2 linked regions of the Drosophila melanogaster genome follow. The protein of the gene in region 1 purifies or fractionates together with the protein of each later gene. This does not show direct contact. Each region holds a gene or a part of one and is shown on either strand. Other genes may lie near its edges.

Evidence for each region.
Region 2: the proteins of jumu (region 1) and CG14742 purify together in Drosophila melanogaster (affinity purification with mass spectrometry, with the first as the bait; one large-scale study listed by BioGRID). This does not show direct contact.

Annotation. Positions count from the first base shown.
Region 1 is NT_033777.3:10,348,493-10,353,421, forward strand, and holds the start of jumu (jumeau), read left to right. Parts: upstream 1-1,689; 5' UTR 1,690-2,035; coding exon 2,036-2,095; intron 2,096-4,929. Other genes in the region: CG31406 (uncharacterized protein), read left to right, coding at 428-625, 688-990, 1,053-1,115, 1,176-1,247, 1,304-1,417.
Region 2 is NT_033777.3:12,212,610-12,216,404, forward strand, and holds CG14742 (uncharacterized protein), read left to right. Parts: upstream 1-1,891; 5' UTR 1,892-2,201; coding exon 2,202-2,270; exon of another isoform or gene 2,271-2,817; coding exon 2,818-2,973; 3' UTR 2,974-3,050; downstream 3,051-3,795. Other genes in the region: Cog1 (component of oligomeric golgi complex 1), read right to left, coding at 3,225-3,344.

The DNA.
Region 1 (4,929 bases):
TGGGATACGTTATGGAAAATTACTAGAGTGCATTACTGATTTCTTTGAAATAATGGAAGTGGCTGGTTTGGACCACCCAAATACGTCACTATATATATATATATAATTTTTATAATTATAATATATAATATTATAATTTTTAATAAATGAACTGCAAGCTAAGGGCTTTATTTCCTGCGACTGAACTTAAGTGGTTATTATAAGTTTATTAAGTGGTTATATATCTTTGGGAAAAATATTTCAGATATTTTTAAATTTGTGACTTCGTGTTTGGAAGTAGCCTGGTTGTCTAGTGTCGCGCCACTAACCAAATAACCTATTTACCTTTTTACTGAAATTCCCACATCTTATTGCACTTCGCTTGAATCTACACCAAATTTCCATTATCTTGATTTTTTGAATTTTCTACGTTAGCTTTGAACCGAAAATGGTGGTTACTCGCAGTGCAGCTACGAAGAAGCAGAACCAAGTGCTGACCTTATCTGACCAGAACATCCTAGCAGAATCTTCGAGGACCAAAGGACCTCCTGTGCCCAAGAAGAATGTTAAGAAATTGCCGACTGCACGTCAGTGTGTCAAGGTGGCTGCAAATCTTCTAGACGCACAAGAACCTAACGAAAATGAAGTAAGAAATATCCAAAGATATATAAATATTTGTTCAAACATTACAAAATATAAAATATTTAGAACACAGGAACCCAAAGGAAGGATGGAAAGCAACTGGATTCCAAATTGAGTTCCACAGTCCAAAATACAGAAGCAGCGAGGTCCAAAGAAACTCCTGCACCCAAGAAGAATGTTAAGAAACTGCAGGCTGCACTTCCGTGCGCCGACGCGGCTGCAAATCTTTTGGAGGAACAAGCATCTAATGAAATGAATGAAGAAGGACCTCCTGTGCCCAAGAAAAATGTGAAGAAACTTCCGGCTGCACGTCAGTGTGTCAAGGTGGCTGCAAATCTTCTAGACGCACAAGAATCTATCGAAAATGAAGTAAGAAATATCCAAAGATATAAAAATATTTGTTCAAACATTACAAAATATAAAATATTTAGAAAACAGGAACAAAAAGGAAGGATGGGAAGCAACTGCAGGCACAAAATTCGAATGAAAATGAAGTAAGAAATATCAAAAGATATGCATATATTAAAATATTATAAAATATATAATATATTTAGAAAACAAGCACATTAAAGAAGGATAAAAAACTACTGGCTTCCAAAACTCCAGAAGCAGCGACAAACGATAATGTAAAATGAAGATACAGATACTAATAATATTAGTATTTATAAAATTCCAATTTTAGGCAAATCCAAATATGAAACCAAGCCTAAAGAAGTCGACAAGGGAGCACAAGTCCAAAAAGTGTAATGACATTCAAAAAGCTGGAAAAGATCACATCGAACATCAAGCCGAATAATTTGTATCACGTTGCGTTAATTGTTTTTGTTTTTAAAGTTCAAAATTGATTTTAGTTGCTTTTATAAGCAAAAATATAAATATAAATAATTAAGAATACCTAATAACAAAGAATGCCGAACAGTGAGGTTACCTTTTAAAAAGCCGTTACACGCAGGGTTCGTTTCCCGGCTAAATGGTTACCCGAGCTCCCAACCTGCCACTGGTTGCGGTGCCGTGTATTGTCAACGTTTTCCAAAAACGGAGGTACGGTCACTCCAGTCTCGGGCGCTCTCATTTTTCGTTCGAATTCTGACCGGGCGGGTTTATTTTATCATTGCTCCGCGACTTCGAATACGAGACCGGTGTTGTGCGCTCCTGATAACTGCGATATATTGAGCGCGAGCGCCATGTCCTTTTGCTGGAAGTAGAATTTGAAAAGTGCAGAGATCACGGCTTGGATTGCCAAGGAACAACGGTGTTGAGACTGAATATATTTTTTGTGCGCTGTTTCGAAATAGAACCGTTAATTGGAATTGGCAGTAAGAAGCAGAGAGGCGGACGATATTCCGGTGAAATCTTCGCCAGGCGGAAACATCGATCAAAACAAAGTGCATGCTAAAAACATAAAAGATTCAACATGTTCGAACTAGAGGATTATTCGAGCGGCATACATGAGGGATTCTTCAGCAAATATGCGGTGAGTTGAAACAAAAAAGGCGAGCTAAGCGAGAATAATAACTTTTCGCGAACATTTCGCCGGCCGGCCACACGCACCCATACACTCGCATGTGCCGAGACACAGACAGGCGCAATTTTTGAATTTAACGTTCGGTCTCCACGTTCCCCACACCCCAACTGTTCCCATACCGACATGAAGAGCAAAACCCACCACCAAGAACAGTTTGGCGGCGAAACTTTGGTTCCACTCGCCATCTCGCTCGCCCCTGCGGCCAAATATTCCCCGCCTCGCTCGCTCCAAAGCTGTGTTGTTGACTCGCCAATTCGCCCTCGCCGCGTTTAACGTTTGTGTGTGTGTGTGTCTGTGTTTACATTTGATCGTTAAACTTTGAAAAATTTCTTTTTCGCCCAAAAAATTGATGATTAATTACAACCGGAACAGCGGAGCGCCGATAAAAAATAATGGAAGTATAGTACCATTGCGTTTGAGGAAGTCTGCTGTTTATTTTGGGGGTTACTAACTCGGCTAGCCGCAGAATTCACCTCTGTTAAGCGACTGTTATTTGCACTTAATTGTGGACATCAATTCACTTTTCACGGGAGGGGATTGCCTGTATTATTCTACTTGTATTATTAAGACACTTGGAGTATTTTACTTTGGCGCACACAGCACAAGTCTTTCTTTTGTTGTAGCCATTCGCAATTATTTGGCTTATTTATTTTCTGTCACACACAGCGGCGGATGAAACAATAGCACACCTTATAATATATTATTTCTTGCAATTTATAAGGTTTAAGAATTTCTTATCTTCATTTTCAAAGAGTAACTCTATAATATAACACAGTATGAGAGGAGAAGGTACCAAAGATTTTTTTTTAACTAAAAGGATTATTTCTTCGGCATAAATTTACTTGTATAATGTTAGAGAGTTTCTCTGGTCGAGTATTCACTGTAGAGTTACGTTATCACATTCTACAGTTTAGCACAGGTTAATAAATTTGCAGTCCTATTTCCTTGGCCGCCAATATGCGCTGAGTACTTTAGTGTGTTTCTCCGCCGGTTCGCTGAGTTTTTCGTCTGGTGGCCTCTTCTTCGGCTTTTGCGTTTTAAACTTTTTGAAGGCCAAGCGTTCACCTCGAATCTCTCGGTTTTCATCTGTTTTAGTCACAGTCCAACCAAGTGGCTAATGATTTTGGGCCAGAAAGTGGGGGTATGGCTTTGAAGTTTGGGCTAAACTGACCGCCTAAATTGTCAGTCCGTCAGAGGAACTGACCTCCAGCAAAGTTTGCACATTTTCAATAGAAAATCAAACGAACGGACTTGGGAAAACACGTGCGCCTGTTACTTGCAACATGCAAAACTCCACACACGCACGCACGCACAATCTACAAGTGTTGCGAATTCCCAGTAAGCGTGTGCGTGTGCGAAGGGGAACAAAGAAAAGCAAACAAAATAAATCGTTTCATCTTGTACGCTTGTGTAAGTGCGAGAACAAAAGAAAACCAAAAAGCAACAGTCGACAATAATTCCCACATCAAAAGCTTTTCTCCCACCTTCTCCATCTCTTTCGCACTGTTCTCTTTCGTCTCCGAGGTTTCGGCAACCTTTGTTGCAGCAACATGGCAGCAAAGAAAGAAATTAGTGAAACAAAAATCAAAGCAAAAAGCCAACAAAGAACAACTTCAAAGTTCAACGCGCTTTCCACTGGGGCCTTTCAAATGGGGCGATTTCAGTGGGTGGCGGCACACCTACCCCAAAATGCGCAGTAGGTGGGAAAGAGATGGGCGCACAAGGATTGTGGGAGGACTGCCACTTGTCTGCATTTCGCTCTGCTGCCGAATATGAGCGCCCAGCTGTATGCCGCATAGATTTTCTCACGGCCCCAGCGCACACACACCCATACACATATTGGTACAAACACTAGTCTGGGGGCAGTTGCTATTACCCATATAAAACTTCAGAGCGCCTAAATCGTGTAATACCAAAAAGATACTTGAAACTATGCAAAGTAAGATATAGACTAATTTAAATACAACTTATTATGTGTCCACATGTCATTTGCATTTTGAAGAAATGCATTGGCTTCTCTCCCTTTCTTCTTTCTATAAGAAAATGTAAATCTCCATGAAGCCAACTGTTTGTTTGTATGGCAATTAAGTTAATGAACAAAGAAGTTATGGAGCTTGTGTAATTCGTAAAAATCGTAAGATGCCTCACCAAACCAACTAATTGCCCCAAAAAACCCTCACAGTCTCAGCAAATGGACTTCCAGGCTAAAAATAAACATTTGGCAAATCTGATTTCTTGAAACACATGCAGTTAATGAATGAAATAACCCGGAGAATCTGCCGATTTACTTCCCGCTAAACCGAGAGATTTGAAAACGATTTACGACCCTGGATCATCCTGTGTGTTTAAGGATGTTACTTTGCGTTGGGAATCGGTCGGCAATTCAGGCAAGCGACTTTTATTGCACCATAAAGTAATTTACAAATGGGCGCTCATGACCTCAGGGAAGATTCGTCCAGAAAGGTCCACGGAAATCGTTGGTTTTACCTGAGTGAGGGATTCCATTGCATTCCATTCCTTACCATCCTCCTCCCATCATTATTTACCATCTCTTCTTGTGTTTTCTCTGTGTGTCAGCAGAGTGATTTCCTTCGGAGGTGAAAGGCGGAGAAAGATGGAAAATATGTGCAACAAAAGAAACGAAGCAGATGCAGGAAATGCAGGAGAACACTTACAACCATCGCCAGTGACGAATCCTGCCGAGAAAGGACGAAAATACCCTCGTCGGCAGCTCCTTGGTTCGTTGCACAACTTGAAAAGGCCAACTGTAGGCAGCTGCAACA
Region 2 (3,795 bases), 1.9 Mb from region 1:
ACTATAGCATTCTCTCTTATTTTTATTTATACCACTTTTTTTAAATCTTTTTTGTGTCGCTTCTTTTGACCCGTTTCCTTTGGCCACTTTCCCTTCGGCTGCCGCACACAAGTTTTTCATTTGTAATTCAAGATGTCAGTCAGCTGGGAGAACCAAAACTTAATTAAAGTTCCGCACTTCTACAGAGCCAATTCCTTACTTATCCCGACTGTCTCTCTCGCTTTTCCGTATGTATTTAGCCATTCCCAGAAAGTCCGCCCATTTCGTTTAAATTCAAAGTGTCTGTCCAGCTCGCCAGGTAAGGTGGTTTATCTTTCAGGTGCAAGTTTCGCCTGCCGCACCTGCAGCAAATGTCCGGACCTGCGACTTTGTTAGCCTCGCCTGCGGATACGGGTCTCCCTCCCCCTTTTCCAGCTCCTTTGCTGCAAATGCGTTTTCCCGAGCATGTGTGAGCGTAATTTTATGAGCTTATTTCATACTTTTCACTTCTAATTTGGCTCCGCGCTAGTTGCCATGTGCAGATTTCGACTTGTTGAGTTCTCCTTGTCGTGGTGCTTTCATTTTCATTGCATGATATCGGTTTCACTTACGGCTCACCATATAGAACATCTAATTTAATTAGCTGACACCAACGGGTGTTCCGACTTATTCTCTTGCTCGCTCTCCATTTTCCAACATCTGTTGTGGGGGGAAAAGTGGGAGAGCCGAAGGAAAAGCTGCAGGAAAAGTAGAATGTCTCATTATGTATGCATTGAGTTTCCAGTGTCCGTTGGCAGCGACAGAAAAACTTTTTGATAACTGTAATTAGCATATGAAGAAAATCAGACTCGGATAGTTTTCTTTGGAACTCAGGCAGGTGGAAAGCTGTTAAATGTATTCCAGTCCAATTAGGAATCCGCCTGCTGAACTGGCGTAGTAATTAAAGCAGTAAAGTTAAATCAGCATGGTAAGTTTTTCGTTTTAAAGTTATCCAATGTAATTTGATAAACACAAATGCTATTTAATTTAATAAAATGATTTATCAATGATAAAAGTAACCAAATTTGTAATGTAATGCTTACATTTTGGTCTATTGAAAGATAATTATAAATATATGATTATTATATAATCAAAACCAGATATATGATATATGTATATACCGGCCATAGGAACAGTCGGATAAGTTATTCATATGCATAGTTTATTCGGTAAGCTTTATTAAATATGTTCAATATACTTATATTACAACTTTAAACAAGTCTATGCAAATAATAAAAATCAGATATTATACATAAGAAAGTGCGATGGAGATTAAATGGCATATCTGTGCTGATTAACTTTTTTTTAGGTTGCCCATAGTCTCCAATTAAATTACTTCCCTAGACCCATAATCAATTCTACCGTTCCTTGGTTTATCTCCCTCATTCAATCTTCCTGTTCTTCCCTTTCTGCATACATTAGCGCTTTCAATCGCCTTCTGGGCCATTTCTTTCCGATTGAAATCCGCCAAAATCTCTCTTGGCCTAGGCTATCACCACCATCAATTCGCGTTGCATCTATAAATAGCATCTTGTTGCACTGTCCGTATCCGTGGGATTCGCGAGTGAGCCGTGGGATTACCGACGTATTGCCTTCCATTGGCCGCAGACCAGAAATGCGAGAGGTGGCCAATGTCAATGCCATGGCCATGGGCGCATATGGCCAAATGCAAATGCGAAACCGAAACAGAAACAGAATCGAAATCGCAATCGGAAGCAAAGAGCCAAAAAGCGATGGAGGAGAAGCACTACAAAATAATCCAACGGTCGCCGCAAGAGAAACACTTCCCATTTCTTCCGGCCGCAAAGAGAGGTGCCCGGGCGGTGATTAAATCAGTTAAGAGCCATTGGCCATTGCAGCCAGGTCTCCTCTACCCGGAGCCAAATCCCCCTGGTCATCGCAATCAACCCATTCCCCTCTCCCATTGCCGCCCAAATTCATTGGCGCCTTTCCCTTCCGCCTTTGGCTGTTGCGCATTTTGTGTTTTGCTCTCAACGTTCATTTTGGCCTTCTTTTTCTGGCCAAATGATTTAATTTCATGTATTTCGCTGTGCGGCAATGGCGATGCTTATTAGTTGCAATTTGCCAGCTCTGGCATAAGTTTACTCTAGCCAAAGCCAACAGCAAGCACCGCAAACTAAACCAAATAAATAAAATAATTGCCTTCCCAAGAAGTTGATAGAATGGGCAAAAATAAGGGTGGTGGCGGCGGCGGTGGAGGAGGAGGTGGCGGTGGTGGAGGCGGGGGCAATGTAAGCAATATTTGTGTTATGCAACTTGCGTTCTAATTGTGAGTCTAACTACTTGTAATCCTCATCTTAGTGCCAGCTCATTCAGCTCATGGTCCCACCAAACTTCCAAGTAGCAATTTAACAATATTTAACTTTATCCCTACTTTCCAACAATTTTAAAATAATTCGTTGACCAACTTTCTAAACATAAATTTATAAAAGCATTGCCAAATTAAAAAAAAAAACTTTAGTGCACTAGAACTATTAACTTTGAGATTAAGCCTTGCATACAGTTTTTTAGGAAGGTGTTTCGTGCTACCTGTATTAATACGTTATTGTAGACCACAAATAATGGTTAGATTACATTTTATCATGCGGATAATAGCTGCTGCTGTATGTAATTAGAGAACTCCTGGTGCTTTGGAACAAGGGTCCCCCCATTGCAATCCTGGCACAACTAACCTTTTTCTCATTTACTGACTTCGCTGGGCAACCTTAAACAACCGTGGCTCGTTATTTGCTCGGTCCCAGCTCAAAGCGAAATCTTTCCGTGTTTCTTTGCCCACAGAAAAAGGGCGGCGGTGGTGGCGGAGGCGGCGGCGGAGGTGGCTCCGGAAATAAAAACAAAGGCGGCGATGGAGGCGGCGGTGACAAAGGTGGAGCCAAGAAAGGACAAGACCAAAAGGCAGCCGCAGGCGGTGGCAAGAAGGGAGGCAAGAAATAGCAACCGTGGCAACATCAAAGCGCATTAAAAATTACAAATTTAGAGTTAAGTTGAAATTAAAAGTGATATCAGGGTGTATATACGAGTATCTCTATAATGTATGTGACTTTCTTACAATTTACTGGGCGCTGCCCGCCTCTTCTACTACAAGTACGTTCGGATATATTTATGTAGGTTAAGCTTAACAATAGAAGAGCATCCCATCCGCATTCCGCTCGAATGCACTTCACAGGCCACTTGATTTGAATCCTCTAGCGAAACCACTCCTGGGACATCCCAAAGAAGGAAGCTGCGCTCGATTTGGATTTGCTGCTGTCTCCCTTGCGGGCTCCATTGCCACCCGACTTCCTCGTCGGCGTCGTTGTCGCCGTCTGAGATAGAGGGATAAAATGGGAGATGTTATTAATTAATTAGTACTATTAATTGGTAGTTTGTCTGATTAATCTGTTAATTTGCCGCTGGACTCTCAGATTTATAGCGAGCAGCGAACAGCAACAAATGGAAAGCAAACATAATTAGAGAACGATTTATACCGGCGGAGATCGCAGCTAATTACAAAACATGCGAGTAACGGCCAAGTAGCCACTGCCATAAATTAACATTTGCCCAGCGATTTGATTTCAATAATTGCAGCGATTCATTAATTACCATCTAAGGCACTCGTATACGCGCCCGTAATATATACATAATCATTCTGCCGATGTTCTGGCCATCCACTTGGAAATTTCGGGTTGGGTTTCAAGCGAAACTTTTGCCAACCACTTGCGGACGAAGTAGGGAGGAGTGGTTGGGAAATGGCGGCAGAAAGTTGCACCTAATTAA